3 linked regions of the Yarrowia lipolytica genome follow. The protein of the gene in region 1 interacts with the protein of each later gene in a pairwise test. Links are inferred from orthologs where the notes say so. Each region holds a gene or a part of one and is shown in the gene's direction. Other genes may lie near its edges. The genes, in order: YALI1_F01291g, YALI1_F04497g and YALI1_E00437g.

Region 1 (10,718 bases):
GACGAGATCACGGAGAGATCTAGAATGTTCATTTCTTGTCAGTTTTCGAATCTAAAACTTCTGACAGACTTCTTCTCGCAGTTTTGGGTCTCCTGTTAAAACCCGATACTTTTTCGATCCAAAATGAGCCCTCTACACTGTACTTTTCATCACTCCAAACATACGCGTAACCGTGACGTGCATCATGCATGATAGCCGAAGGAGTTGGTACAAAACAAGTCAGCGGGAGACAAACAACACTTTGAGATACAAGGGTCGGGTAAAAAATCAAAAGAAAAACCAGCTTCGTCGTCCATACTCATAATCTGTCATTCTGAATATTTTCCCTCCGTAGTTTTGTGAATTACTTATCATCCGATAACTGTATGTACTGTGCCACTCAAGCGGTAACTTACAGTAATCTCATATCGTTGACACATTGACATCACAACCATACCAGTAAACATGATACCCCAATTCTTACTCTTGCTGTGGCTGACACTGGTCAAAGGCGAAGTATTATATTTGGATAACGAGACGCGTCTCGCATGTGCAAATGTAAACGCTGGAGAAGACAGTGTGGGCCCTGCCAAGGACACGTACATCCAGTTCTCATTCGACGAGCTGGAGACGCCTGGAGTGATGGCCTTGGCGATTTTCGAGTGGAGAGATTATGACCGGATTGGAGGCGTGTGTGACGATGCTGCCATCGACAACAATAAATGTGAAGAGCATGAATATGCCACCTTCAAGGTCAAGCCCGAGGAGACTGACAACCTGTACTCCAGAGTCTTCTCCTTTCCTCTGAATCTCCAGAGCATCCAAAAGTTCCGGTACACGGTGTTTAAATCCGGCCAGTACTGTGCCATGGTGCACCCTGTGATCCCCAACGATGACTTTGCCGCCAAAATGTCCATCAAAAGCGCATATGGGTTTCTGGGAGGTGGCGAGGTGGGTCTGCTGTTACTGAGCCGTATTTCAATCATCTATCATTTTGTGACCTTTTCCATCTGGTTCTACGCGTATAAAAAGAACTCGAAACACGCGGTACCTGTCCAGAAGTACCTCACCAAGGCCATGGGTCTACTGGTGCTCAAGTCCGTGTTGGTGTTTGTCAATCTGTCTATGACGAACAAATACGAAACTGCGCCTGAATTAGTCGCCACGGTGGCATCCATAGTCAAGCCTGTGGCCGACTCGCTCTTTCTGTCTCTTCTGATTGTCATGTCTCTAGGTTATGGAACCATTGTCCAGTCCAAGTCTCTCAAATTCTACTTTCTGTCGTGGGTGGTGAAGGGAGGTTGGTTTTGTGTGGCCTATTTCCTGCTCAAGCCTCTCAATCTCCCCATTGACATGTCTGATTTCTCTCCCGAGGCTCTCAAGATCACCTTCTACATCCCCATCATGCTGGGTCTTGTTGTCACCACCCGGTATCTGAAGAAAACTAACCAGTCGGCACTGGCCAGACGAAGTGCCATGCTCACCATGGCTCTACTGGCTCTGGGAATCGTCTATGCAGGTGTCTACCTGACCTTTAAAGCACACGTGCAACAAAACTGGACTTTGTTTGAGTACCAATGGTTCCTTCCAGCCTGTGGAGAGCTAGCTGCGGAGATGATATACCACCTTTGTTTCTGCGTCTTCTGGTTCCCGAGACCGTTACAAGCAGCAAAAGAGATTGATAAGGAGATGTAACGAAATAGTAATTGATTGCTTTAATCAAATGTGGACCTGGGGAACTGTAACCTCTGATCTAGGACCGAGACTATCAGTACAACCAACTACAGTTGTACCCCTACAAGTGTAGATACAATCTCTAGACCAGGGGAACTCGTTAAATTGGCCTATTTTATGGATTAATCCAGACACTAGACTGGGTTGAACAAGGGTCTTTGGCCTGCGTTGAAAGCAGTTCGATCTAGACTTGTACCTAACTCTAGCTACTGTAGTGGACTTTTCCAAAAAGAGCTTAGCCCAGGGGATCCAATATGCCCACTCGTGAGACACTGTTAGCGTCTTATAACCTCAAGTCTAGACTTATTCAAAACTACAAGTAGTTCGCGGCGGTCTGTCTGGGTCTACCCTCTTACCACGACTGTCCGAGGACTAGTAGCTCTATCAACATAGGGGCCCGGTCATTGACTAATGGCACTGTCGGATTATTATATCTCGGGGTTGCTCCTGGAACGTATTGCCTATCATCACGTCACTCGCCAGACTCCTCCTAGATAGCTCGTTCAGAAGGTTTTTCCTAAAGCCCAAGTTAGTTAGATTTTAGTGGAAGGAATTGGTCAAGTGAAATACACCTGGGGATTGAAACAGGGGTTGGTCATAAAATATGGATTGATATCGACATTATGTAGAGTGAAATGGTCCTGGCATTGTAGTAGAAATGCTCACTTCATATAGATTATCATCGAGTACACATCTCTCTTCTCTAAGAATTTTCCCATAATTACTTAGCTTTAGTTGGGATAGGAATTTCAATACACGGCGTGACCCGTTTATCAGTCCGAATGGGTCTAATCTAGTTCCAGAACGACCAAGAACCGTACACTACAGTACGGCACGAGAACATGAACGAGAACCGTTCACTGACTATCCCAGATCAGTACGTGGCTTCTCTACGAGCTCCTACCATAGAATGACCAGTGCCAATTGCCAATTCAGCGCTGGACAGTGTCATTAGTGGTTTCTATAAATATTGGTAATAAATAGTTAGCTGAGGTTGTCGTTGGCAATCCCTGCCCGGTTATTCTTCTATCATTGGTGATCTTCTTCTATCACCTGTCGCCTGTCCTTTCGTTAGTCCAGTCTCATGAGCAACACCAACATGACAATATAACTGGCCAAACTGAAGGCTGCGAACCAAATGACGGCGTTGCCACTGGTGATGAAGATCCGATTGCCAAGCGTCTCCTCATACATCATGTGGTCCGTGATCCGTTTGCGACGCAGCGCAACCACCAAAATGAGAATCCCACAGGCCGTGAAGGTGGTGCCCACAGGCATGAACTTGACGCTGAACACCTTGAGCACCAGCAGCGCGAACCCCAACTGACCCATGGCCGACCGATAGTACGCGCCCTCGAACGTGCGCTGCATCGCCCGCACGTCTAGCTTTTCATCCTTGTTGAGCTCCGGAAAAGGGGTGGGATCAATCGCGTAGAACCGCCTGAGTGTGGGCATGCTGTTGAGTGAGAAGATTCAGAGCTGATGGCGACGTCGTGGTAATCACGTGACTGTATCAGTGACGTTGTTGAATATCAAGTCGTGGGGAAATCTGTTCTTCTCTGAACAACAGATCTCTAGTATTTGTTGTCCTTGCTAAACGAGGTATAAGTGCCGATACAGTACATAGTGTACGAGTATAAGTGAGTAGCATGGATACAGCAACTGATGTGACCCTACTGAGAGACCGGAGTGGTGTGAGAAAAGCCGGTGATTCCAGTGAAATGATGAAGACTAGATGGTACGTAATCCCCGTGTCTTTTTTCCGGCAGATTTTGGCAATTTTTATACATGTTTCACATTCGAGTCTGGCCTATTTTTTCTCTCTGAAATTTTGGTTTTCATTTTTTTTTTCTTCATATTTTTAAAAAATTCATGTTTTCTGGCTTGCCTAATTTGCTTCTCTGAACCTCCCCCCACTCGCATCTCGGGTGCAATTCCCACAACACCACACTGACGGTAGGGTAATGGGCGGGTTGACTGTCGACCATGAGCAGGTGGGTTTTTACGAGTACAGGTACTTGCACGGATCTACATGTACATTTCTGGGGGTTCTCGTGATGTTGAGAGTTCTGAATAGATCAAAATCTTCCGGCTCAGCTTTTATTCCAACTTATCTATACATCATCGATTTAGAGTGTTTAGGACTGAATAGTACATACACTGTACATATATGAACAGAACATGTCTCTCAGAATCATATTTGGAGAGAAAAAATAATCAATAAAAGTCAGCAGCCGATATACCAATAGCAATCTGAAACCACCATAAAAGTTCTAATACCTCAAATGTACCTTCTATCGCCCCAAAAGTGGTTCTACTCATCTCCCCAGGCCAGTCCTAACCTGTGAGGTTATAGTGATCTGTGGAATGGCGGCATGCACGATAATAATGGGTGGTAATTTGACAATGTGACAATGTGACAATGTGACAATTTGTTAGTGGAAAAAACTTTCGTGCACCTATAGATTAAGAGCCAATTGAGTAATTCGTGCCTATAGATTAAGAGCCAATTGAATAATTCGTGCCCCAAATATTCCTCATAATTGACGGGCCCAGTCCTTTTTTCACTTGCTACTGCAACTCCAACTGCTCACTCGCGGGTCGAGGTTGGGAGAAAGTGCATCAAACTATACGGCGAGAGAAACATGTACGTGTTTACTAGAAGACAATTGTCTGATGAGGCCAAAGTAGTACAGCTAGAGACGTGAAAAAAACACATCATTAGACAATTGTGGACCGTCTGACCAATCTCGATAATTTTCAGACCCCCACATGGCCCCAATTTTCCACAAACCCGACCCCCGAACCAGGGCCAGGGTTGCGACAAACCCTCGACATGCACGTTAAACTGAGCTTGGGTGTGACCATCAATCACCACACTCTCTTCACAACAACAACCACACAACATAGCCATCAACGTGAGTATGAGAGGGCGAAAGAACCGCAGGAGAAGGAACAGTGACACAAAAGGACGGCAATTAGTTTTGATGGGATAGCAGATCTGCTCCACTCACTCATGAGACTTGCCGCCCGCGCTCTGCCCCTGGTCCCACCCACTAACCCAGATGGAACAAGAAAACATTGACATTCCTGACGAGCTGTACCCCCTGGCTCTGCTCATGGACGAGCTCAAACACGACGAGTTTTCGCTGCGAATCTCTGCTATGAAAAAACTGCAGCTCATCGCCGCAGCCCTACGCCAAGAGCGATGCCGTGACGAACTCATCCCCTTTCTGGAGGATGTCACACAGGAGGACGAGGACGAGGTCCTGACCGTGCTGGCTGAGGAGCTCGCCAACCTGGTTCCCTACATCGGAGGCCCCGAGTACTCGCACCTGCTGATCCCCTCTCTAGAGACCCTGTCTTGCATGGAGGAGCCTGTTGTTCGGGACAAGGCCGTGGAGTCCATCAACCGAATCTGTGAGGGATTGCCGTCACGTGATCACGTGGCCCAGACCATCCTGCCTCTGGTGAAACGGCTTTCTTCTGCAGAGTGGTTTTCCTCCAAGGTCTCTGCCACCGGTCTCTATGCTGCTGCCATTCGACACTGTCCTACCGAGGCTGTTCCCGAGCTTCTCAAGCAGTATGGAGAGCTCACACGAGATGACACCCCCATGGTCCGTCGAGCTGCCGCCACCCACTTGCCTGCAGTGATTGAGGCTTTGCCCGCGGAAGCTGATTCTCCTGAGGCCGACGACGAAATCTACTCCATGTTCAAGGCACAGGTGGGCGACGACCAGGACAGCGTGCGACTGCTGTCGGTCAACGTGCTGATTGCCAAGGCCGAGAAGCTCAAGCGACAGGGCAACTCGCAGCACACGTCTTCGCTGATCGAGTTTGCTCTCGCACTGCTCCATGACCCCTCGTGGCGGGTGCGATACATGTGCGCCGACCGGTTCGAGAAGCTAGCCGAGTCGCTCACCTCAGTGGTGCCTGAGGAGGGCGTGGAGAAGACGGAGGTGGACGAGATGGAGCGAGCTTTTGTGCCCGAGTTCATCAAGTTCATGCAGGACGGCGAGGCTGAGGTCCGGACAGCGGTGGCCAAGCAGGTGCCTGGCTTCTGCCGGCTCGTTACCCCCGCCAACCTCGACAAGATTGTTGCCAACGTCGAGGAACTATCTCAGGACTCGTCCCAGCACGTGCGGGCTGCTCTGGGCTCCGAGATCTCGGCCCTGGCACCGCTGCTCGGCAAGGAGAAGACAATTGAGACTCTGCTGCCTACATTTCTGCAGATGCTCAAGGATGACTTCCCCGATGTGCGGCTCAACATTATTTCCAAGCTTCATCTGGTCAACAAGGTGATTGGTATTGATCTACTGAGCCAGAGTCTGCTTCCTGCAGTCTCGGATCTCGCGCAGGACAAGCAGTGGCGAGTGCGCCTGGCCATCATCGAGTACATCCCTCTGCTGGCCACACAGCTGGGCGTCTCCTTCTTCGACAAGGAGCTGGGTCCCCTGTGCATGACCTGGCTGTGGGACAGCGTCTACTCGATTCGAGAGGCCGCCACACAGAACCTCAAGAAGCTGACCAAGGTGTTTGGTGTGGACTGGGCCAAGGACGAGATTCTGCCCCACATTATCGTCGTTGCTGCGGATTCCAACTACCTGTACCGACTCACGGCCCTCTGTGCCGTGACCACACTCATCCCCGTGGTGGACGAGTCGATGATCAAGACATCCATTCTGCCGTTCATTGCCGAGCTCATCAACGACCCCATCCCCAACATCCGTTTCAATGTGGCCAAGACGTACACAGAGTTGGTGCGGGCTCTGCACGAGGAGAAGATCAGCTCGCCTGAGGTGATTGAGGAGATTTGCACATCGACCGTGATCCCCCACCTGGAGCGGCTTTCCACCGACGGCGATGTGGACGTGCGCTACTTTTCCACCAAGGCTCTGGAGGACATTGCCGAAATCAAGAAGGCTCACGCATAGGGTAGGAGACGGGCTGTGGACATGAATTAGATGAATAGTTAATGAGTATAAACGGACGCGCGGTAGTGAGAGGCCGCTTGCAAGAGCCCTGTAGCCTTTACTTTGAGAAGAGAAAGTAAACGGTTTTAATACGGCTCTGGTTGAAGTGGGTGATGCGAGTATGTAGGAGGCTACTTATAGATAGTTCTTCAGGAATGTAAGTTACCCGTGTATACCGAACAACAGGGCTAGACGCTAGACGCTACTCTTTGTACCAACTCGTACCTGTACAGAACCTGTTCAGGACGGGTGCCTATTGTTAACATGCCCAAGGGTACGATTACTCTAGTGCACTTGAATCGTACAGTACTCTCTTGAGAGAGTCAATTAACCGACATTGTAGACTCCTCGCTTCTCGTACCCATCGTACAGTACATGAACTCGTGCCGAACGCACATCAAGAGAGGTGCAGCACTAAGTTGTCCCCTCATCTTGTCGAGTTCCCACACCGTTGCGCACGCACCCAGCTCGTATTGCAGTCTACAGTAAGGATCAATTATCTGTGTTTGGAGCGTCTCGGCTACATGTTTCTGTTTCAGCCGTTTTGTTTTGAAACAGAGACAGTGGTGAGGTGACCCGGGTCACGGTTTCCGAAGAGTCATGGGGCGTTGCGAGTATCGTACAAGTACTTGTAGATCTACTGGCAGAACTACATACCATATGATGATCATCTACCAATCGGCTACAGATTTTCATATTCAGGTTCACGTGATTTTTGGGACCGATGACATTAGAGAGTCATATTTCGGATGAAAAAGTGAAAATTCAAAAAATCAAAAATCAAAAATCTATATACGCCACCGTTGGTCTCCACGGCTTTGCTACTCACGCTTCTATCATCTCCACTCGGAAAAACGCATGCAACGGGTTGTGCAGATGGCCGGATTTGTGTGTGTATGAGAGGAGACAGAGTCTACACTATTAATAGAGCACTTGGTGCATGCATACTCGTACAAGTGCCCAGACCTGTTGTCAAGGTACAGTCATACTTGTATCCGGTCATCTGTGATGGCTGATGACATATGTCCCGCCGCCTACAAGTATGTACTGTACAGCACTGGCTTTGCCTGTCACATCGGTTTGCTTTTGCTTCTTCCGCCGAGGTGCCAGAGCCCATCCCAGATACATGAGGCATGTCAGATGGAGATGGCCAGAGACAGCTGTTATACATGGTGGCAACCGTGTCTTGCCCACCCGTCTCAGTGACGTAATAATTGTGCACCAACCGAACTCTGTTCCCTTTCTGTCATGAGAAGATGTCCCATGCACAAGGTGAAGGGTGCAGTTGAAACATCCGGACAAATGTCAGAGTCTGGCAGCAGGCGTGGTGTTCCTGGATTACACGGTACAAGTACTTGCACGGAGCTTGTACTATACTTGTGAACGATTCCATAACTGATACTATTCTTCAGACTGACACTTGTTGACAGTCACTGTAATTACATTACAGCAATATGGGATATACTCGACATAATATTGACATGCAGAGGGACAAAAAATTAATTGTACAAAATAAATAGCAGACCAGCGTGTATAACATAGTAGAGTGTGTGTATCAGATGTGACAGTATCAGCACTAGTATGTAATGTCACATATAACGGTCTGAAAGACGTTTCGTGATTACAGTACCGGTACAGTACATAATAGGGTGGTCTTAATCAGTTATTATAATTAGTTAGAATAAATTAGAATAAATAAGCAAATGATCTAGAGACCCTCGAGGCCCCTAAGTAAGTCATGACGACCCCTAAATAAGTCCCGAGAGTCCCGAAAGGAGCCCAAGATGGCCACGGCTAGCCCTCACTCTATTACAACCCCGGATAGAAATCAAGATGTATTGAAATGAAATCTGCAAGTAAGATGCAATAGAATAAATATATGGTGGGTTGAGTGTCCATCGAAGTCATCCAGTGACAAAAAGTAGAAGTACGGGTTCAGTAGCCTGCGCGTGAGAGCCCAGGCCCCAAACAAACGCACTGTGTTGCATAGAGGGAAAGTGATTAGTGTCCTTGAAGCTGGTGAGAAATATCTTGTGGATCACAAGCTCCAGATATGAGCCTTGAGATGGAGGCCTCATTTCAGATGATCCTCCTCTGAGCCCTATAGTCTGCATCAATGCTCAGACTCGAGTGCTTTTGGTCCAGGACTCAGTAGACCGGGTGTCGCGATGGTGAAGTCCCCTGTAGAGCCCTAATTCAAGGCAGGACTTCTGGCTCGCATAAAACTGAGCGTGTAGCCGGCCTAGACTGACAAAAGCCTCTGGCACCTAATCTTCGTCGCTCTCCAACGCATCCTTTTCGCCCAGCAAATGCTTGTGCCAGTCCATCAACTGAAAAATCAACGTCATGTTCGGTCCGATTTCCGGCGACCGGTACTTGACCCAGTCATAGGCTGCATTCAGATCAAGCTGCTGCTTCTTCATAATGTAAGCGATCAGCAGCGACGCACTTCTTGAGACTCCACACTGACAGTGAACCAGCACACGCTTGCCAGCAGCACTTCTGTCATCAATCAGCTGCGTGAGATACGGCAGGTCAGGCAGGAACTTGGAGTTGTGTCCCCAGGGCACGTAGACGTACTCGGGGTTGGTCTGTCCATCATTAGCATACTGCTCCTCGGAGAACGGGTTGTCAATCTCCTTGGCCACGTTGATGACCACGTCGAACGTACGGGCGAGCTCCACAGAAGGCTCCGAGTACAGGTAAACGTTGCTGGGGTAGATGAGCAAGGGTCCATCTGGGTATGCGTTCTCATGGTGCACGGAGGGAGTCATGAGCTCCTCTGCGAACAGGTGATGTTTGCTGGGTGGAAGCGCATCGTCGTAGTTTGGTGGCGGTGTAGTGTGTGTAGTGTTATCGGAGTTGGGGTCCGATTCCGAGTCCGACAGCGACAGCTGAGAGGCCGCGGAGTTGGCGGAATGGTGCGACTGGGACGTCGGGGTGCCCAAGGGGGCAGGCAGAGTGTTTGAGCCGGAGCACGTGGCCAGCGGGATACTGATACTCAGTTGCGATGTTCGTCTCTGCATCGTAAACGGTGGTGGTTCCATACTGAAGGGAGGCACACTAGACACAGTGGCAGAAGCGGCTGGTTGTACCTGCGGACTGGGGGACTGTCTCTTTGGGGAGGTTCTGGAGTGGTAGTTTTTGTGTTCGCTGCGGTAGTCACTGTCGTAGGCTGCGTCCTCGGGCTCGGCGTCGACGTGGGATCGTTTGACGGAACCCTTGCGAGACAGTCCCAGCGAGAAGGAGGCTGCCAGAGGAGAAGCAGCAGCAACCGAGGGGGCGGACGCTCGCACGGGCGTCGAGCTGACAGGCAGCACAAACGGCAGCGGCGCCGCTATCGAAGGCTCTATAGATGTGTGAGGCGGCGAGACATTGTTATTGCTGTGGCTGTTGTGGCTCTGGTTGCTACCTTGAGGTACCATCAACGACAGGTTTTTGGTGTTGGAGTTTTTGCCCTTGGGCGGTCGGAACGGCAGGTGGCGCGGCGGCGCCGGCAACGAGTCCATGGCGTCGGGATCGTGTATCTGTTGTGCTTGTGGGTGGTGGTGGTTGGAGGGCACGTGCGAACCCGCCATGTCGGCCACCGAGCAGTTCATGGGTATCTGGGAGAGGTGAGGAGAGTTGGGGTTGGTTCTGGGCCTGTCGTTACGGGACTCGAGTCGTGAGAGCTGCGGGAGAGTGCCGGGTGCGCGTGGGGGTTGCGAGTATCCAGATGAGTTGGTTCTCGGGCGTGAGTACGTCGCACTTTGGTGTGTGTGTGTGTTGTGTTGTGCGGTGGTGGTGAGGCCAATGTATATTCAATATACATGTATGTACAAGGGAGTCTATTCTGGCTTTTTGGCAAAGTTAGTGTGCACCTTGTTTTTTAACCTTCGTCTGAGGCTGGCACTCTGATCTATTTTTGTGTACGCACCCACATGTGGGAGGTAGCTCATGTGAGTTTATTGTGCTCCCATGTGAGCGCTGTGGTGCTATAAATATCCATTGTGGGATGGCCAAACGCCAGCTTGGAGCGTGAGGACGGCGCCG
Region 2 (10,137 bases), about 320 kb from region 1:
CCCTCATGGCAACAGCCTCAGACTGGCAAGCCTACCCAGCTAACGAGCCATACCCGATGCTCCATGCTCGGGTCGAACAATCCAAGCAACAGATGGAGATCCACTCCCTACGGAACCACCAAGGCCGAGTGAAGACCGACACCTCCTCTCTCTGCGACATCTCAGCTCGATACTTTGACAACATCTTCGACAGAGCTGCCGATATCAACGACACCGACGACAGCGCCTTTTTAGACCTCTTCCCCGAAGAAACCCGGAGGGTGAATACAGCTAACCCAAGCCTGGACTCGTCTTTTACCAAGGAGGAGATCTTCGATACCATCAAGGCGTCTACGCACAACAGCGCGCCAGGGCCAGACGGCATCCCGTACAGGTTCTACCGCGACTGCTGGGATGAGCTGGGGGACTTGATGACGGACGTCTACAACGAAGCTGGAGCCGACTCGCCCATCAGCACCGAACGCAACACCGCTATCATCAAACTACTGTACAAGTCGGGAGATCAGGCCGACATCTCCAACTACAGGCCTATTTCTTTGATCAACACAGAGGTGAAGATCTACACACAGCTCATTAACAAAGCCATCCAGAACATTCTTCCGGACAGCATTCACGGCGCCCAAAACGGTTTCGTACCGGGTCGACACATCACTAACAATCTCGACACCATGGATCATTTTTGCAACGCCTACTCCCAGCTGAACATGGGTTGGGTCGTAGGATCACTGGACTTCCGGAAAGCCTACGACACTATCAGCCAGAGTTGGGTGATAAAGACGCTTCGAAATGTGGGTGTCTCGGAACTGATGATCAACCGTATCCTAGCTGTACAACAGAACGCAGTAACGAGAATCAACATCAGAGGTGTCCTATCTCGCCCAGTCCGCATCAAGATCGGAGTGAGACAAGGATGCCCTCTCTCTCCAACCCTCTTCATCATCGCAGTAGACGCACTTGTGCGTCGTCTGGACCGAGAGATGTTTGGACTGGCCCCAGGCCTGCCACTATCCCACCACCACACCACTGGGCACAGGCCGCCACAACCCCCTACTCACCCGGAGGCAGTGGCAGCTGGACACATGAAGGTGTCGGCTTTCGCGGACGACATAGCGGTGTTCCTCAACAACATCCAGGACGTGGCCACGGTTGGTAGAGTGCTCTGCCTCTTCCAACGGGTCTCAGGCCTCACACTAAACCCGTCAAAGACGGTGCTTCAGAAGATCGGCCCCCCCGATTGTTTTGTTCCACTAACCTTTATTGACGCAGAATGGCAGCGAACAATTGACGCCACCTGGCCAACCGACAACAACACACGACAGGCCCCGACGCTCCGGACATCTGACAACATTTTCCGGTACCTCGGAGTACACTTCGGAAATCGCGAAAGGTTGGACACGCACTACGCTCAGATCAAGGAGGACCTCAAGGAGTCGCTGCGACGCCTTTCACTATGGGGTCTCCCCTATTACAGCAAGGCGTGGATGATCAACATCTACTTCTTCTCGAAACTGAATTTCCTTGGACCCTACGTCAGCCAGATCGACAACACCTTCATCCGAGAGCTGAACGAACTAGCGTGCGACAAGATCAACAAATTATCACCCGACAAAACACGCAAAACCTTCAGCAATGGTTTCATCCAAACTCCGGTAGGCAGAGGAGGACTGAACCTGCGGGACATGGGACGTTTCATGGTGTGCCTGAAGGCCGCTCGGGCTTACAGGTTCTTCCATGGCTCATCGCCGGCCCTTTGGGACTGCACCTTCCAGTTCTACAGCAGAACTCACAGTCTCACACAGGAAAAGCCACACCAGCGCGTCGACTGCCGCTTTCCGACAGGCCAAGCTTGGGGCTACGCAGCCTCCCCCACCATGCGAGACGCAATCAGAGCTTCTTTCGAGCTCAACAAGCCCCTCACCGCGGAACATGCCAACCCTCGAGAAGATCACGAGCCCTCTACAACAGACACAGTTAATCACAGAATCTGGGAACGAAACCAGGTGAACGTGAGAGCAGCAGAATCTTTCCGGGAAGCACACGTCGACATCGCAGCCGCGAGACGATACCATCCGGTCAGAATGGTGTCCACAGCGGAAATCGACCACCTCCGGTGGAGCATGGGACCACTTACTCTAGAGAACTTCATGTTTCACAAGACCTCGTCTCCCGACTTGCCAAACTTCCCACACACACTTGCACGACCGAAGAAGTGGACTCAACGAAGCGACTACGGGGGCATCTCTGACGACATGGTCTGGCAGGAGGTAATGCATGACCTTCGAAAACACTACATCGCCGACGCCAACAAAGCACAAGTTCTTCACCTCATGCGGATATCTCGACTTCCGCTCGTGAAATGGAGATACCCTGACGACCACGTTTTCACCAAGAAGAATCCAGGATGCGGGCTCTGTGATAAGGCCATCATTCAGGATCTGCACGAGCATATCTTCTGCAAGTGCGAAGTTCTTCTTTCCATGTTGACCAGGATGAAGATTCCGTCAGTGGACTCTCTAAAGGACTGGATCTTTACCGAGTCGAAATGTGGAGTACTCCCCTCTTTCCCAGGGCATGTGAACAGTGACGCCCCCCGGAAACATCAACAAGTCAAGACACGCAAATATCTGCGGGAATTGGCTTATGGGATCTGGAAGATGGAGAGATCCCTCCGGTACTCAGGGGACGACGCCACCCTGGGACATGTCCAACAGGGTTTGCTTCAATTCCTGAAGGAAGCCCAGATGTGTTTCTACGATGGACAACCGCCAGCACTTCACGATGAGCGAGAGTAGACACAGTAGCAAGCGTAAAAGGCGGCCGAGGCCACCGAGAGAACAGCGTAGCAGGGCGCGTAGTCACCACAGGGGACGCAGAACCAAACCAATGACGAAGAAGAACCACAAGGAGAAGTTTTCAAAGGCAATGCAAATGAAGAGGGCAATGGAAGGATTGAGATTAGAGAACTGGAGACTGGAGTGGCGTTTTCCCGATGAACGAACAAACACGCGAAGCTATGTGGACCAACATACAACACGGACTGAACCAGGTTTTTTTATGATTTTTTTACTGGAAATAGGTACGTGCCAAGTTGGACCATGACACTAAACGTGTTTAATTAGTAATATTCGTGTAAGCGTACATTCATTTCAAAGGTTATTCTTTCACGGCAAAGTTATAATTAAATGAATGTATATGCAGAAAAAAAAAAAAAAACTTGCTCCAAAGAAAAGACATTGATTAGCTGAAAGTCAGAAAAGATAGCTATGGTGTTTTTGTGAAAACCAAGTACAACCACTGTACTTGGATATATAGTATATACTACATTCACCAATCCACAACAATCTCAGTTACCATACTGATAATTACACTATCTATAACTCTTCCCAAGCGTAAACAGTATACCAAATGGTCGTACTAACACAATACCCCACCTAACTATGTCAAAAGTAGGAATATTGGAAATATTTAAAAACAGGGAGAAAACCCGTGCTCAGAATATCTTTTATACACTCTCAAATCCCATAAAAATTCTCAGAAAAAACCCAACACAAGCAATGTTACATTTCAGATCTAGATCGAAACTTAATGACGAAACAATCAATACAGATACGCCTTAGACGGCTCTAATTATCACTCTAATTAGGACCTTTGTTGAAATGGGCAGTTGAGTGCGACATTTCAGTCACGTGATGTGGTCTCCGCGGGCGAGTAGTTTTGTCGTCCGATGACGTCATAGTTGCGAGTGACAGTGGTGTATGAGTATGTACATACGAGTACGACTACGAGTACGAGCAACTCCTCACATTGGGTAAAAGGATATCACGTGATGGAATGATGTGTCACGTGACCAAACCTATCTTTACACAAGGCCCTGTCTGGTATGTACAGTACATACGTTATATACGTAATATCCGTAAACACAACCCTCCACATACCCCACATTACTGTGGACCCCTTCCCCCTTGCTGTCTCCCAATACGATCACCAAACGTTGTTGCTGCGCTTGGGGCAGAGGCAGCAAGGTCTCTGGGGTTGCCGGGGGGAGGCCGGTTGTTAGGGATTGAGGATATGTTTGTGGCGTCTGAGTGTTTATGAGTAAGGAGGATTTTTTTCTGAATTGATCCGATTAAATTCAAATTTCGGCGAATTCTCACAGAATTACCTCCATTATATTCGATTAGTTTCGAAATAACGGGTGTGTTTTAAATACGCTCGCGTAGATCGTCACGTGGAGAAAAACACGAATCGGAGAATATGGGTCGTGACGGGCTGAATTATGCCAAATTATGGGCCTTTTATCGAATTTATCAGCCCTCCAGGCGGTGCAATTGAGGCGTGCTGGACGTTTGCTGTTTGGAACAGTACCGAACGGAGGGGTGGAGGAAGGTGACGAGAGGTGTGGGGCAGGGATAAAAAGCGGGTAAAAACGAGAAAAATATTTTGAGCTTATTAAAATGGTCGGTAAATCTGGGCGATTATTTTGGGGTTTTCAGAAACATCCTCAATGAGCCGCCTCGTCCTCCTGAGGCTCCAGTCATGGCGTCACCCTCAAAATTAGAATTGCAGGAGGGTAATTCGGAAGGTGGTTTTTTTTGAGCGAGATGAGATTAGGGTGTGGATGGAGCGAGAGGGGGTCCATAAATCGGTGTTCTGGCGTTGGTTCAGAGCGCAAGAAAACATATTTGTAGTAAAGTCGTGATTTTAAATCCATTCCAGCTGTTTCCAGATCTCTAACTCCTTCCCATCACCTCCTCATCGTGTCGTATCTTCTCCTCTCTCTACATTACTACCTCTTACTCTCTCCCAACCCGACCTGCATACATTTCTCACAGCACAGTTTGCACCACTCTACTTGTTGTTTGACCGACCCCATCATCACCACATCATCACCGTTGTCCATCGACGTTTGCGATAGAGCTATTTGGCCCGAGTGTACGAGTGGAACGAGCGGTACGAGAACGACACGCACAACACCAAGCAAAAGACTGAAAATCGACTAGCGACATCGACACACAGAGACACCAGACACACACCCCGAACGGACAGACACAAACACACTCTGACACAAAAATGGACGAACAATGGAAATTTTCCCAATGCTTCGGCGACAAGGGCGACATTGAAAACATCACGGACGCGGACGTGATTTCGACCGTGGAGTTTGACCACACCGGCAACTACCTGGCCACCGGCGACAAGGGAGGCCGAGTAGTGTTGTTTGAGCGGAACGAAAACAAGAAGGGATGCGAGTACCGGTTCTACACCGAGTTCCAGAGCCACGACGCCGAGTTTGACTATCTCAAGTCGCTGGAGATTGAGGAGAAGATCAACAAGATCAAGTGGTGCAAACGCCAGAACCAGGCCCACTTCTTGCTTTCCACCAACGATAAGACCATTAAGCTGTGGAAGGTGTACGAGAAGTCTTTGCGGGTGGTTGCCGAGAATAACCTCAGCGATTCGAACAACGCCGGCGCTGCTTCTGCAGCCGCCCCCGGCACCTCCACAAAGCCCAACCAGCTCACCATGGACACGCTTCGACTGCCCCGAATGACGCTCCATGACACGATTGTGGCGGCCTCCCCCCGACGCATCTACGCCAACGCCCACACCTACCACATCAACTCGATTTCGGTCAACTCGGACGGCGAAACGTACATTTCGGCCGACGACCTGCGGATAAACTTGTGGAACCTCGGCATTGCGGACCAGTCGTTCAACATTGTGGACATCAAGCCCGCCAACATGGAGGAGCTGACGGAGGTGATCACCGCAGCAGACTTCCACCCGCAGAGTTGCAACCTGTTCATGTACTCGTCTTCCAAGGGTACTATCAAGCTGGCCGACATGCGAGACAATGCTCTGTGTGACGGCCACGCCAAGCAATACGAGGAGTGGATGGACCCGGCACAGCACTCCTTCTTCACTGAAATCACGTCGTCGATTTCGGACGTCCGTTTCTCCAACGATGGACGATATATTCTCTCCCGAGACTACCTCACAGTCAAAATCTGGGATGTGAAGATGGAGCGAGAGCCCGTGCGGACCATCAACATCCATGAGCAGCTGCGTGACAAGCTGTGTGACACCTACGAGAACGACGCCATCTTCGACAAGTTTGAGGTTGTCTTTTCCGGCGACGGCAAGTCAGTGTCCACCGGATCGTACAACAACAACTTTATGATCTATCCGGATGCCGTCAACCCTGCCACACCCGAAGATGCCGAGATCATTCTGCAGGCCGACAAGTCCGCCTTCAAGCAGAAGAAGTTTGGCGTTCCCAGCGCCATGGGCGGTATTCTCAAGGGCGGCAACGGCGCCAACTCACCCAATGGCCGAAAGCGAGGCCAGTCTCCAGGAATGAACATGGTCAAGCGGGACATGGACTTTGACACGATTGATTTCAAGAAGAACATCCTGCATCTCAGCTGGCATCCCCATGAGAACTCGATTGCTATTGCGGCTACAAATAACCTGTTTGTGTTTAGCACTTTGTAACGAACTTAGGAGCAACGAAGAACATGTGGCGCGACGCGACCATGTGAGTAGCGACTATGGGAGAAGGAGCGGACACAGACGGATCGAGCACTAGATCGACTGAAAGGGGCATATGGGATACGGCTGGGGACACAATCTCGCAGCTCGTATGTGTTTTGGTATAGGTTGGAGGGATATATAATGAGTAATGATTATAGAAAGGACGGGAAGCTACTGGCCTTAGGCCAGGAGTGAAGAGCAACGTATCAGTGTTGTAGAGCGTGTGATCTAGCGTTGTCAGTAAATCTGGAATGCTTATGACAACGGTATGGAGGTGGTGGAGGTAGTAGATAAATGTAGTAGATTTGGAGTACTTGTAATGGTACACAGGCATAATGATGTACTGTAGTATTCGTCTCGAAGTGGCCATAATGACAAATTGGCTACGCTTGAATGTGTTTCGTACAGGAGTCATGCTCATGGCACATGTCTGCTGAGCAGCTTGTGCAACGGGAAGTCATACAAGTACTTGTTGCTGGACTTGTTCATACCTCAGTACCCAGAGACGATATATATATACAGTAACTTTTAAATTTTTTTTTAATAATATCATTACAGTATGTAGTGCAACATCTCTAACTGGGTTGATGAGTAGCATCGATTTTTCATGACAAACAATGCTGCTGGCTGATGGGATTGTGATTCAAGAGCCGATACTAGGAAAAATACGGACCAGTTTCTCATATCTAACGTCATTTCCACGTTTAAACCGAAACTGATGAAGGAAGAGCATTGGTAAGAGACGACCTACAGACCCAGTCTTCTCTGGAGGTTGTCAACCAAGTTCAGTTGACGAGTACAGTAAATACAAGTACAGTATGTACCGTACTTGAAGCGATGACTATAATACAGTACAAGACAGTGCAAGATACAGAAGATGACTTGGACAAGAGGTAATGAGCACTCCATTACGAACACTCCATTACGATCACTCCATTACAATAAAATTAGCCCGTCCTTCTAACTGCCCCAGACACCAAACCTCCGTCTAAATCTCACCGACAAGCACGTGCAATAATGCTTTAGTCTCGTCTTGCCCGCTCTTTCAACCTCTATCACATGTTACTGTACTGTATATCGTACTTGTACAAGAACCGGCACCTGTAGCTATAATGGATACCAACCACTGTACTGAATATATACCAACTACTGTATTGTACACAGTACAGTACAAGTACAATACAACTACTGGTACATGTATAGTATCTGGTGCACAAGCAAGACGTACAAGAAGCCCACTGTGAAGATCCATCTCACTCTACAGCTATGTACTTGTATATATGCAGAGTAAAAATGAACTTTCCATGAGATGTAGGAATTGTCTAATCACTGCCACTCATCCAAATATCTCCATCTTTCACTGGTCTACCACGTGTAGTACGAGGACTCGTAGGTTTAAGACATTCGATCTGGATCAGTCATCTGAACCAGTGATGTGTATCAGTGGGTCGACCAATGTACTTGGAACACTGCAATGAAATGAAATGTGGTTCTGGAGGTTGTGGGCTTGATCGGAGGCGTCCCATTAATTATTGATATATCCGACCTCCTCGTGTACTTGCAGCTTGTATTACATTTCGCCTACGTCCTACAGTCATTGTCGATGCTCGCTCGTCCTACAACTGTAGTCAGAAAGTCGAGGACGACTGCACATTCACTATATCTTGTCGGGAGACACCCGGGCTTTGCCCTCGAAGTTCCTCCGAACGCTCTACTTGTACCGTTATAATAATGCTTTAGCTATATCGCGAACTTAGTCAGATCGGATGTGTCGGTTGACGGCAGGGTTCCAGAACAGAGTCTTGTCACCATCGCCCCAGAAGAAGCTGTGTTAGTATAATCATTAAGAGGGCATAGTCCGTATTTGGAGGACATTCGAGGATGTCGTCCAAGAGTGGTCCACCAATGGGTTGACTCGAGACAGACACGGCGGTCGGGCCAAACGAGACGAACAGCAGCGCGACACGTCACGAAACGCGGTACAGTCATATACGGAAGACTCCCATGGGACTCTCAGACCAAGTCTTCAAGTCTCGAAATGTCAACCAATCAGATCGCTCCAATACACGCGTCACATGCCGTACGTGCCAATGTCCATCTCTCACGCCTCCACCAAAGGTGAACCTGCTCTGGATCTCGCCCCGTCCTTCCGTCAGGCATCACTTTGGTCATCCCCAGGCGTCTGAACGCTCTCTCAATACGTCCTTGTGTGTGTTACAGACAAACAACAGCTAAGGCTGTCAGTCAACGTAACACTGTCGTCTTCCCAACCACAGTCAGCTTAGCTGTCCGTGATCGGGGTGCAAACAGCTTCGCTCTTTGCGCTACTCACTTCTTGGTTCGAACGTTCTGGAACTCGTACTCAGGAGGGAAGTCCTCCTCAGACAGATGAGACAGATGCTCTCGGTGCTCGGCATGGGCAGCCTCAACAAAGTAGGTGTTGACGCAGGTGGCCAGAATCACGGGAGTGCAAATGTAAATGGAAATCTTTCGCCACAGCTTGGAGGTGTGCTCGGCATGCTTCTCGGTGGCCACGTACTCGGCCTCGTAAGCCTCAGCGCCGGCCTTGTTGATCTTGTAAGGACCGTCCTTGAGAACCTCCTCCACCTTCTGGTTGATGTTTCGGGTGGTGTTTCGGAGAGTGGGGGCTCGGAGAACGGTGGTGGGTCGTGCGACTCGTCGAAGAGCAAACATTTTGGTGATGGAGTGCGGAGTGCTGTTATGGAGAAGAACCAAGCCTATTTTCCGCAGAAGCCCTCTGGCGATATTCCTCGCAACTGTAAAAAAGTGTGGGCTGATGACGGCCGCTGTGATTGGCCAGTTAAGTTTAGGGTTAGGGGAGTCAGCTTCCAATGGGGCAACAATTGTGTAGCACTACCGTTTCTTTTTCCTGTCGTAATACCGGTCAATTAGACACGGCTGCTGGGTTTCAATATCGAAGGAAATCTGTCTACAGTCCAAAATGAGCAAATTCAAGCCCCGATTGACTATGCTATTCAAAAGGCGGGTGGTCGAAAGATTGGCCCGCCCTAGCCCTAATATACTTAATTAGGATACAACCCTAACCCCACACAACTCAATTGATTCGTCCCAATCACAATCACACAGGGACAGGGGAGGAGATGGACCGTGCCGAAATAAGCGCACCCTAACCCCGATTCAACTGAGAATACTGAATGAAGACGAGGGGTAATGGCAACTTGGAATAAGCGAGAGGTAGATGAGAAGAAGTGTGTAGATACGTGTGGGTAGGTGTATGTGTATGTGTATGTGTTGAGTTTTTTTTGTCACGTGACTACAACCATGGTTGAAAAAAAATACTCCTCAAAACTCACGCCTTACCTAATCCACTTGTCTGTTCTTTGACCAATGAACATCGACCACACCAGGGAGACTGCAGGGTAACTTTGCGTGGGTGTGTGTGGAAAAAGAGGAATGTTGAGAAGGGCATAGTTGTACAAAAACGTGTAGAATGGTCCATAAGACGGTCACAGCTCCACAAATTGAATGTCTCGGGTGCCCTAGCCCCCTCCCCCCCACTAATCTGGCCCCACTTGTCTTAGTCAGCACACATTTGGCCATCTTTCTTCTCTCCTTTCCTCT
Region 3 (11,324 bases), on another chromosome or scaffold:
TTTCCGAGCAGGAATGCTCGCCTACCTGGAGCGGCTGCGATCCGACCGGCTCAACGAGTGTGCTATTGTCATCCAGAAGAATGTGCGAAAGCGGTTCTACCGACAAAAGTATCTCGACACCCGACAGTCGATTATCGCTGCCCAGACGCTCTTCCGAGCCCACATTGCTCGAGAGAGGTTCCAGGAGCTGCGAAAGGAGCAGGCTGCTGTCAAAATCCAATCTGCGTGGAGAGGCTTCTCTGGTCGACGAGACTTCAAGCAGCAGCGAGAGGGCATTGTCCGGCTGCAGGCCATCTTCCGGGGTGTTCTTGTGCGACGAAACATCCAGGAGGTGGCCCACAAGGGTGCTGCTTTGACCATTCAGCGAAACTTCCGAGGATATGTGGCTCGAAAGGAGTACCGTAACAAGCTGCAGAACATTGTGCTCATCCAGTCGCTGATCCGACGACGACAGGCCAAGCAACAGCTCAAGCAGCTCAAGGTCGAGGCCAAGTCCGAGAAGCACTTCAAGGAGGTGCAGTACCGACTGGAGAACAAGGTGGTCGAGCTCACCCAGAGTCTGACCGCCAAGCGGGACGAGAACAAGAAGTTGCTGGCCGAGATGGACATGCTGAACGCCCGATCTGCTGCTGCCACCGCCAAGTCCACCGAGAACTCTTCTCGGGTCGAGGAGCTGGAGAATGCCGCTGAGGAGAAGGAGCGAGCCCACCAGGAGGAGGTTCAAACCATGGAGCTGAAGCTGGCTGCGTTGGATAAGCAATACCAGGCGTCCGTTGCGCAGCTGACCGAGCTGGAGGACGCCAACGCTGCTCTGAAGCAGGAGCTCGAGGCCAAGACCAAGGAAGTCGCTGACAAGATTGAGGCCACCAACGTGCACATTGACACCAACAAATCTCTGAGCGAGCAGCTGGAGCAGGCCAAGCACGAGATTGAGAAACTCAAGCAGAACGGCGTGGTTGCCTCTGATATGGCCTCAGTGTCTCCTGTTCGAGGCACTCCTGGCACAGCAATGAACGCCAAGCGACGAAACATCAAGCGTCGATCTCTCACCTCTGCTGGCATCGTTGACGGTGCTGCTGCTTTCACTCCCCGACCTTCTGCCGCCGGCGCTGCTGCCGGTGCTGCCATGGGAGCTGCTGCCGGTGCCAACGCTGAGCAGATGATGGCTTCTCTCGGAGTCAATGGCCAGATTGAGCAGCTGCTCGAGTCCCAGAGCGACGAGCTGTATGATGAAGTGATCGAGGGTCTGATCCACAAACTCAACATCCCCATCCCCCACACGTCGGATGACCAGTTTCTGCCTCGAGAGGTGCTCTTCCCCGCCCACATTCTTAACCTGATCACCTCGGAGATGTGGCGGCTTGGCTTTATCAAGGAGTCCGAGCGGTTCCTGGCCCGAGTCATGGAGGCCATCCAGAAGCACATTCTGGAGCTCAGCGGCGAGGCCGTGATCTACCCCGGCGCATTCTGGCTGTCCAACGTGCACGAGATCATGTCTTTCGTGTGTCTTGCCCAGGCCAACATTGCCCAGAACGTGGACATTATGGACGAGATGGGCGAGTACGAGTTCCAGCAGTACGGACGTCTGGTACACGTGGTCAAGGCCGATCTGGAGAACTTGGAGTTTAACATTTATCACACATGGATGAAGGAGCTCAAGAAGCTACTGGACAAGATGATTGTGCCCGCCATTGTGCTGTCACAGGCTCTCCCTGGTTTCATGACCACAGACTCCAACGGCCGTTTCCTCGCCAAGATGTTCACCTCCAACGTGTCCTACTCCATGGATGATCTGCTCAACTTGTTTAACAAGGTGTACAAGGCCATGACCTGCTACTTCAACGAGAAGCACAGCGTGCGACAGTCGTTGATGGAGTTGCTGTCCATGATTGGCGTCAAGGCCTTCAACGACCTGCTTATGCGAAAGAACTTCCTGTCGTGGAAGCGAGGTCTGCAGATCAACTACAACATCACCCGAATCGAGGAGTGGTGCAAGTCGCATGACATTGCCGACGGCGTGGTCAAGTTGGAGCACCTTATGCAGTCCGCGAAGCTGCTGCAGCTCAAGAAGTCGACTCTGGAGGATATTGAGATCATCTACGACATTTGCTGGATTCTCACTCCCTCTCAGATCCATCGTCTGATTGGCCAGTACCTGTCTGCTGACTACGAGGCTCCCATCTCGTCCGAGATTATGAACACAATCTCCGAAAAGGTCAAGCTGGAGAAGAACGCTGTTCTTCTGCTGGAGACTTCTCCTCTGGAGGACTCTGGTCCGTTTGAGATCTGCGAGCCCCGTCTGCTCAAGCGGCTGGACTCGTACATCCCTGCAGTCTTGCAGGTGCCTCTGATCCGTCGATTTGTGGAGCTTACGACCTTGGCGTCTGGGCAAAACAACGAGGACCAGCATGGGAGGATTGATGGTGATATCTCTGAGGAAGCGGCTGCCGATAGTGTCAGTGCCGATCAAATGGTACCGGAAGAGTCCACCAACGGCTACCAAGAAGTGGCAAGCCAATAAGCGCTGTTTTTCTGAGCCCGCGGTCTTGTGGGTGTCTGACAGCGACAGCGACTCGGACTCGTCCGGCGTGTCTGACGACAGCTACATGTCCACCGTGACTCTTCCACGCGCTACTAAAAGACGGTACACTTTGATGAAGCCTCCGCTGTTACAGGGGGTTGATATTTTGTTGTGCTTGTCGCAGAATACCCACAATATGAAAAAATGAAAATTGAGTGTAATATGATTTGAAATTGATTGTTGAAGTTTCTGTGGTGTATCGTGTATCGTATGTTTAGGGCGGGGAGTTGTAAGGAACTAAAGATGGGTGTATAGATTGCGGGGTAATAGCACTAACGTGGATGGAACTACTACTTACAGTGTGGGGTGGGGATGGCTGTTGATGAATTCGCAAGGGATGTACTACTGCTACTGTACTAGTACTTGTATCTGTCTATGGGATGACATGGAGCATAGGAATGCGACTGTGTAGCCGTTGGCAAAAAAAAAAAAAAAGATGTAGTTCCACAGCTGTTTAGCAAGTGTTGGAAAAACAGCATGTACCGAATGTACGTAAGCAACTGATACAACACGAATACAATATGGTACAATGTACTCGTACTAGTACTTGTACTTGTACTGTACACCAATGGCTATATCAATGGCTATATGTATAAAAATGATTGAGTCCATGACAGCTATCACCACAGTGCATTCAATAAGAGGCAAGTGTGACAAGAGACAGTCGCTACAACCACGGTACTACTGTAGGATCGGATGAGAGGGTTCAACCACGAGACTGGGCGCAATGGCGATAATTCATGCTGTGATAACGACCCAATTGTGTATGTACGTACATTCGACATATTTATTTGATACACCGTTCTACTCATCCCGTAACCCTGATACCGCACTTGCACTTGTACAAGATTTGAGGAACCGTGTCTAATTGGGAATCTCTTCCGATCAAATCTAAGTAATGAGATGAAATGCATGGAATGAATAATTACCCCAAAGAAACTGCTCTAATAAGAGCGCAATTACAAGTACTGCGGCATAGGATACAGAGACGACCCAACAGAGGGCGTATAGTGGTCACGTGACTAGCCAATCACGTGACCAGCCCTCCCCCATCCACGGTTCGTTATTATCACCCCACATGGACGCGTGTAATATCATAATTGTCGTTGTACACTCCCTAATCGGATAAGCTCCGAAGATGCTTAATATCGGTTGAGGTTTCACTCCGTCAAATGAGGCTGTGCGGTGTGGAGAGGGTGATTGGTGTGGTGGAGGGGGGGGGGGGGGATGGTTAAGAGGTAGATGGTGGCCAGGTAAAGGTGATTCATTAAATATGATGCAGCCCTGCTTTCATATTCAGTATACATCAATACTTGTACAATAGCTAGCTCCACGGTACTTGGAACCATTGTTTTCTCGTCGTCTCCGCACATTAAAGTTCCTTGTGGGTTGCGGAAAACAACACGTCTCTTTCTTTGGAATGCATGAGAAACAGGGGCACATCACGTGCCCAGAGTGGTGGAGCCAGACCACACTCGTCTATTTTTAGTCCCCTGTTGCCGAGTCGGTGGAGTTTTCGGTTTAGACCAGTGTCGTGTGCCCCGGTTGGTAGGAAGGCATTTACCGTAGCTAGGGTTGCCCGGACCGTGGCGGTGTATGGGGTGTTAATTGTCCCTCAATTAGGAAGGGAGGAGAGTGTAGTGAAGGGTTTGAGTCGGGAAGGGTCGGAGTGAACACAGCATGTTAGTCAGCTGTGTAAGCGCGGGTGCGGTATTAGACAGCTGTGATTGGTTGAACAGATTGGCCAAAACAGCTTGGCTTATCAACCTACCATGGTGAAAACTCTTACGTCTCTTCCCATCTACACTTCAGGGCTACCTAGTTCTCGTACCGGCGCTTTACTATCATTGTAATTACAAATGCCCATCACTTTTACTTGTAGAGTAATGTACGACGAGGATAAACTTTGGCTGCCACGTTTGGGGCCCTAGCCCAAGCAAACCAGTGCAATAATAATAAATCATGATGATGTGTCGGATATGATACGAGAAATTTCCGGGGTTCAAAAAGCGCCGTTTCAAATCTCAGAGCCTGTAGTAGACCACTGTAGGTGCATTCTCCGTCCATAGTGTTTCGCCTCCATTTTAACTCTCTCCAAAACATACACACTCACACACACACACACACACACACAGTTCGTCTATCTGTATGGTCATCACACATCATCAGTGAACTTAGCTAGCTGCTACATCCACGTCGACGTCTCAACTGACATACAACATCCATCATTGTCTGATACGTACGCCGAGACCAGATTTGAAAACGACACAAAAGGCGGAAACGTATCATTGGACCGGTAGACTCGCAACGTCTAAAAAAGTCTCACGACACCACTCCCCATTGTGAGCAAGCTACTCTACACTGCACACACGCACACAACACACCTCACACTACACACGCTACGAACGCTGCCACAACCCCCCCTCAAACACACGACGCGACGTAGACGACGAAATCAGAGACAACCAAGATGATGCGAGGATTCAAGCAGCGAATGCTGTCGCGGTCCAAGTCTCACAGCGAGTCGTCGACCAAAAACAAAAAGAAGGAGGACGGACCCAAGCGCACTTTCTCGCTAGGCGACCGCAAGAAAACCCCTGAGCCCACCCCTGCTGCCGCTACGCCCTCCAATGTCCAGGCCGCCGCTACGCCGGTCTCTTCGTCTTCGAGTGCCAGCAGCATAACCTCTGTCAGCGGGTCCTCTGGTAACAACAACTCCAGCAGCAACAACAACAGCAACAATAACATCACCAGTGGTGCAACTAACACCACCAATAGCAGCAATGCTAACACCACCAACCCTGCCACATCATCCAACTCCAACCCTTCGACCGGCAACGTGTCCTCCATGTTGACCCCCCAACAGCCTGCCCAGTCACAGGCAGCGCTCCAGGGCCTGCAGCAGAACCAGCAGCAGCAGGGACAGCAGATGGACACAAACACACCGCCAGCCATTCTCGTTGAGGGACCTACGCAACTGGGCTCGGCCCAGGCGTCGAGTCACGTGACCATGGGCCACGTGACCGGCCACATGAGCACGCACTCGGGCACCCCACATCACCACCCGTCGTCTCCGGGCCAGCTGGAGACCATGCCCACCGATCTGGAGCCTCCCAAGCGCCACTCGTTTGAGCTGCTCAACGCGGACGGCCCTGAGGTCAAAACCCCCCGTCGACACAACTCCAGCCGTCTGGAAATTTCCAAGGAGCGGGAGCTGGAGCGTCTCCCCGGTTTCAACGAGGTGCCTTTCCGAAAGCGCGCGGAGCTGTTTTTGCAGAAGGTCAAGCAGTGCAATACCATTTTCGACTTTGGCGACCCGTCGTCTGACATTCAGGGCAAGGACATTAAGCGGATGGCTCTGCACGAGCTGCTGGACTTTGTCGCTAACACGCGCATCACAATCACGGACGAAATGTACGCCCAGGTGGTGGGCATGTTTGGCAAGAACATCTTCCGGCCCACGCCTCCACTGGTGAACCCGGTAGGAGAGGTTTTTGATCCTGACGAGGACGAGCCTGTTTGCGAGGTCGCATGGCCCCACATGCAACTGGTGTACGAGTTTTTCCTCAAGTTCATCGAATCACCGGACTTCAACCACACGTCTGCCAAGAAGTTCATCGACCACCGGTTTGTGCAGAACCTGCTGGAGCTGTTTGACAGCGAAGACATTCGGGAGCGGGACTGCCTCAAAACTACTCTGCACCGAATCTATGGCAAGTTCCTGAATCTGCGAGCGTATATCCGGCGGTCCATCAACAATGTCTTTTTCCAGTTCATTTATGAAACGGAGCGGTTCAATGGCGTGGCCGAGCTGCTGGAGATTTTGGGCTCCATCATCAACGGCTTTGCTCTGCCGCTCAAGGACGAGCACAAGATCTTCTTGTCCAGGGTGCTCATCCCTCTGCATAAGGCCAAGACTCTGAGCCTGTACCACCCACAGCTGGCCTACTGTGTCGTACAGTTCCTGGAAAAGGACCCCTCGCTTACCGAGGAAGTCATTCTGGGCTTGCTGCGGTACTGGCCCAAGGTTAACTCGTCGAAGGAGGTCATGTTCCTGAACGAGATTGAGGACATCTTCGAGGTGATGGAGCCGACGGAGTTCCAGCGGATCCAGATCCCCCTCTTCTCGCAGCTAGCTAAGTGCATCTCGTCGCAGCATTTCCAGGTGGCCGAACGGGCACTGTACTATTGGAACAACGAGTACTTTTGCACGCTCATGTCGGAGAACATCACCGAGATCTTGCCGGTCATATTCCCTGCGCTGTACGAAAACTCCCGCGGCCACTGGAACCGCACCATCCACTCTATGGTGTACAATACTATGAAAATGATCATGGAAGCCAATCCGCAGTTGTTTGACCAGTGCACCATGGTGTACCAAGAGCGACAAGACCTCAAGGAGGAGCACGAGGCGCTGGTGGCGAAGTGGTGGGATATGGTGGTGGAACGTGCGGCCAATAGTCAGGAGAACGTTGATTCGCCACAATTTGCCAAGCTGCTCAACCAGGCCCAGGAGGAGTTTTCCATGCTCAAGACCGAGGACCGGGATCTGCAGATGAGCGGAATTCCCGAGGAGGGGGAGGAGGATAGCAACAAGCTTGCTAATAACCAGGGTCCCGAGGAGGGCATGGAACATGACCACCACGAGCAGCACCAACAGCACCAGGGACTTGGACAGCATGAGCAGCAGCAGCAGCAGCAGCAGGGTGTTGAGCAACAACAACAGCCCCACAATATCCAGCCTCTGGGGGTTGTGACTAACCATGAGACTCCTGTCGTTGCTCATAACGATGAGGAGCATACTGGTTTCCACACCCCTCGCGGTAGCAGTGACTTTCCGTTTGGATACTAGCTTGTAGGTAATAGCATGGACATAGGATTAATTATTGAAGACAAATATTACGGAAAGGAAGACCACAGGTCTTGAGCGGACAACAGTAAACTACTGTATAACTACAGTACGAGTAGAAGTATGTACTTGCACACTCGCATGCCACCCAAGGAGTACAGTGTACTTGTACAACTTTGCCTTAGGTTTGGGCCATGCACGATATTTCTGCATGTAACTTCTGCCATCAGCACCATCAACATGGGAAAGAATACCGACAAGTTATACATTACACAGAGCGAATGGGCACTAGGAGATCACAGTGTCGGCGGCGGAAAAAAGAGCGAGGCACAATCTGGCGTCCAGAAGAATCCCTTTTGGCACTGCACTATTGGCCAGCAACCTATCGAGCACAAGAACATGATGTGTGACAAGCTGGGTTACGTTTACGACATCAAGAACATTGTGCCTTACATTGTCAAGCAGGGTAAAAAGGCCGGCAAGAAGGGCGTACCGCATCCAGTGGAGCCTGGAGCCACATTGACTCGAACAGATCTCATGAAGCTGACAGTCACAGTGAATGGAGAGGGCAAGATTATTGATCCCGTGAGCTTCAAGGAGATGAGCAAGTACCACAATGCCGTGGTTGTGCGGCCAAGCAAACGGGTATATTTGGAGGACACAATCAAGGAGCTAGGCAAGAGTGGGAGGGATCCTGTGAGCGACGAAGCATTCACCAAGACCGATGTGTTGAGGTTACGCAATTTTGCTGAGATGGAGGAAGGGGATGGAACATTAGTGAAAAAAGGAGAGGCAGATTCGTCAGCACAAGATATCAAGCCTACGGATCGAACTGGCCAGACCACAACCCATCACGTGGCAGCTTCGTTGACATCCACAACTTATGTACCAACCACTCAGGTGACTGTGATAGAGGAGGATCTGGTGGACAAGCTTAAGCCCAAGATGGCTGAACTCAAGGACCCAGTATATGCTCTGCTGACGATAAATTGCCAGGGCAAACGAGGTCAAATAAACCTGGAGTTGTATCCCTATAATGCACCCTTGACGGTCTACAACTTTGTCAAGCTTGCACAGAAGGGGTATTACGATGGCACCATTTTCCACCGCAACATTAAGCATTTCATGATCCAGGGTGGAGATCCTACCGGCACTGGCTCGGGTGGAGAGTCCATTTTTGGCAAAACCTTTAGAGATGAATGCGGGACCTTCAACCCTCATACTCACGATAGTCGGGGAGTGCTAAGTATGGCGAATAGAGGCAAGGGAACCAACTCCAGCCAGTTCTTCATCACCTACAGCCGAGCCCCTCATCTGGACGGGAAGCATACTGTGTTTGGACGGGTGGTGGACAACTCGTTTCTGACTACGTTGGAGCTGTCTGAGACGGTGGACGACAAACCCGTGAAAAATATCACGTTGGAGAGTGTTAGTGTTTCGAGCGACCCGTTTTCTTTCTTGGAGGGTGGGCATATTAATGCACAAGAGGCCAATAAGAAGACGACGCCCATGGATGACTCGCCGTTTCTAAAGAAGCAGACCGGAGAGAGTGGCAAGATTGGACGGTATCTGAAGCTGTCCGAGCCTGCAGAAGACGCTGCTGACGATCCCACCTCGTCCATTTCTCAAAAGAGGAAGCGAATCACCTCGTTGGCCAACAGTAATTTTTCTGGGTGGTAAGCGAGTGGCTATTGTAGTTATACATGCGTTTCTGCATGGCACCGGTGCATCCTTCCCACGTGGTGTCGGAATGACGTACATCGTGTACAGTATTGTACTTTCATTGTAGTTTGACATTGACAGTTACAAAGATCCTCACAGTTGGATGCGGCATTCTCGGCCCTTCACGTTAGCTACAAGTACTGTACAGTACATACATTACTCGTAATACACATAATCTATTGTATGGGTCTCATATAATCTCTCCCTTTTATTAAACAATACAATATAGGTTTTGTTTAATATAACCATATGGTCCCGTGCTCTGTAGCAAGTGCAAGGCACTTTAACTGCTGTATGAGCCGTGAGTGCATACATTAGAAGCCTGGGCCTCGGCCCAAACGATCTTCTTTTCATTTGCCGTGAAGTGGCTGACCGTTAATTTCGGGCTTTTACGGTCGCCCTTGTCTCTCTTGTCTCTTTTTTGTGCCGTCCTGAGCTCCTTCAAACGTGCTTATTATCCTCCCAACAAATCACGCTTCAGCAATTGACCATTCGCCCTGAGTTTTGTCGCCTTGGCCGCTTTGTGTATGCAGTTGAGGCTTGCTTATCAGCATCAGAGTTGGTTTTAGCTGCACCCACACAGGTGGGCAAGTGAGCCCTCGTGCGCAGAGTTGGAGGTACATGAGAGGCAAAAGGACGCTTATATAGCAGTTTAATCGGGATCTGTATACCGCACCCACCACTCTCTCTCTTACGCACGAAAATGAAGATCGATATTGCTCTTGTTGTGCTGCTGGCTACAGCTGTTTCCGCTGCTCCCCCCACATTCTCCAAGATCCAACCCTCGCCAGACGCTATTGCTTCTGCGGCAGCAACCGCTAAATCCAACCATTGGAAGGACGAGGGCTACGAAACCGTTAAGGGTCAGGTGTTTGACAAATACTACCAGATCTGGCTGGAAAACACCAACTACGACAAGGCGTTCGGACAGGCCGACCTAAAGGCCTTAACAGACGAGGGTATCCTGCTCACCAACTACTGGTCTCTGACTCACCCCTCGCAGCCCAACTACATTGCCGCTGTGTCCGGAGACTACTTTGGAGACATGACCGACTCGTTCAAGCGGGTGCCTGAGGAGGTGGCCACTGTCGCAGATCTGCTCGACACCAAGCACATCTCTTGGGGCGAGTACAGGAACACCAGCCAATACACCGGCTACGACGGCTATGAGTTCAAGAACGCTGATGGAGCCAACGACTACGTGAGAAAGCACAACCCTCTCATCAACTACGACTCTGTCGCCAACAAGAAGGAGCGCCTGGGCAACCTCAAGAACTTCACCGAGTTCTACAAAGATCTCAAGAACGCTGACCTGCCCCAGTGGGCCTTCATCACTCCCAACATGACCAACGATGGCCACGACTCCGATATTGAGGTGGCTGGAAAGTGGTCATCCAGCTTCATCCGACCATTGCTCAAGAACCCCACCTTCTACGACAACAACCTCATCATTCTGACCTTTGACGAGAATCATAACTACCTGACAAAGAACCGAGTCTATGCCGTTCTTCTGGGTGGTTCTATTCCTGACCACCTCAAGGGAACCACCGACGACACCTTCTACGACCACTACACCAACCTTGCTACGGTTCAGGCCAACTGGAAGCTTCCCCATCTTGGACGAAAGGATGTTGACGCCAATATCTTCAAGTTTGTGGCTGATAAGCTTGACATCAAGAACGATGACGTTGACACTACCTGGAAATTCAACAATGTGCCTGAGAGTGGTTACTTCCAGAACAAGAACAAGGGCATTCCTGCTCCTGACGTGAACGCTGTGGGTCGATCTGGCAACCACATTTTGCCTAGCCTCAGAAACTAACCACATTATCCTCCCCCCCCCCAACAAACATATTATAGATTCTACAGTATAAATTCTTTAGCACATCCGATCATGACGATATTCGACCGTGTACTTAAAGTGCGCTCTTGTCCGCATTTGGAAAATAACATTGATACTGTACGCTGTTGACAACCTCCGAAAACCGTTGGTGATTGGGTTCACGAAGAAGGGGAGAATACACGCAGCACTGTGGCAAGACCAGTAGAGATGCAAAAAAGAGTGATTTCTTGCAGGAGCGAACTTCAGATGTTCTGCGTGTTAAGCCTGACTAACCAGACCAAGAAACCGGAGAAGCAAACCCGCTGACTACTGTACCAGTTTTCCTACAC

Evidence for each region.
Region 2: the proteins of YALI1_F01291g (region 1) and YALI1_F04497g interact in binary tests that used the Schizosaccharomyces pombe proteins (3 or more experiments, as listed by UniProt). The link is inferred for Yarrowia lipolytica from reciprocal best matches to the Schizosaccharomyces pombe genes paa1 and pab1.
Region 3: the proteins of YALI1_F01291g (region 1) and YALI1_E00437g interact in binary tests that used the Schizosaccharomyces pombe proteins (3 or more experiments, as listed by UniProt). The link is inferred for Yarrowia lipolytica from reciprocal best matches to the Schizosaccharomyces pombe genes paa1 and par1.

The regions. Positions count from the first base shown.
Region 1 is NC_090775.1:124,370-135,087, forward strand, and holds YALI1_F01291g (uncharacterized protein), read left to right. Parts: upstream 1-4,778; coding exon 4,779-6,647; downstream 6,648-10,718. Other genes in the region: YALI1_F01248g (uncharacterized protein), read left to right, coding at 445-1,674; YALI1_F01275g (uncharacterized protein), read right to left, coding at 2,785-3,168; YALI1_F01324g (uncharacterized protein), read right to left, coding at 7,886-8,087, 8,135-8,226; YALI1_F01346g (uncharacterized protein), read right to left, coding at 8,954-10,285. UniProt on the Schizosaccharomyces pombe protein: Phosphatase 2A affects a variety of biological processes in the cell such as transcription, cell cycle progression and cellular morphogenesis, and provides an initial identification of critical substrates for this phosphatase.
Region 2 is NC_090775.1:444,658-454,794, reverse strand, and holds YALI1_F04497g (uncharacterized protein), read left to right. Parts: upstream 1-5,070; coding exon 5,071-6,495; downstream 6,496-10,137. Other genes in the region: YALI1_F04559t (uncharacterized protein), read left to right, coding at 1-2,792; YALI1_F04455g (uncharacterized protein), read right to left, coding at 8,288-8,360, 8,867-9,228. UniProt on the Schizosaccharomyces pombe protein: Phosphatase 2A affects a variety of biological processes in the cell such as transcription, cell cycle progression and cellular morphogenesis, and provides an initial identification of critical substrates for this phosphatase.
Region 3 is NC_090774.1:37,479-48,802, reverse strand, and holds YALI1_E00437g (uncharacterized protein), read left to right. Parts: upstream 1-5,051; coding exon 5,052-7,433; downstream 7,434-11,324. Other genes in the region: YALI1_E00510g (uncharacterized protein), read left to right, coding at 1-2,521; YALI1_E00412g (uncharacterized protein), read left to right, coding at 7,554-9,110; YALI1_E00389g (uncharacterized protein), read left to right, coding at 9,856-10,974. UniProt on the Schizosaccharomyces pombe protein: The B regulatory subunit might modulate substrate selectivity and catalytic activity, and might also direct the localization of the catalytic enzyme to a particular subcellular compartment. Has a role in cell shape control and septum formation.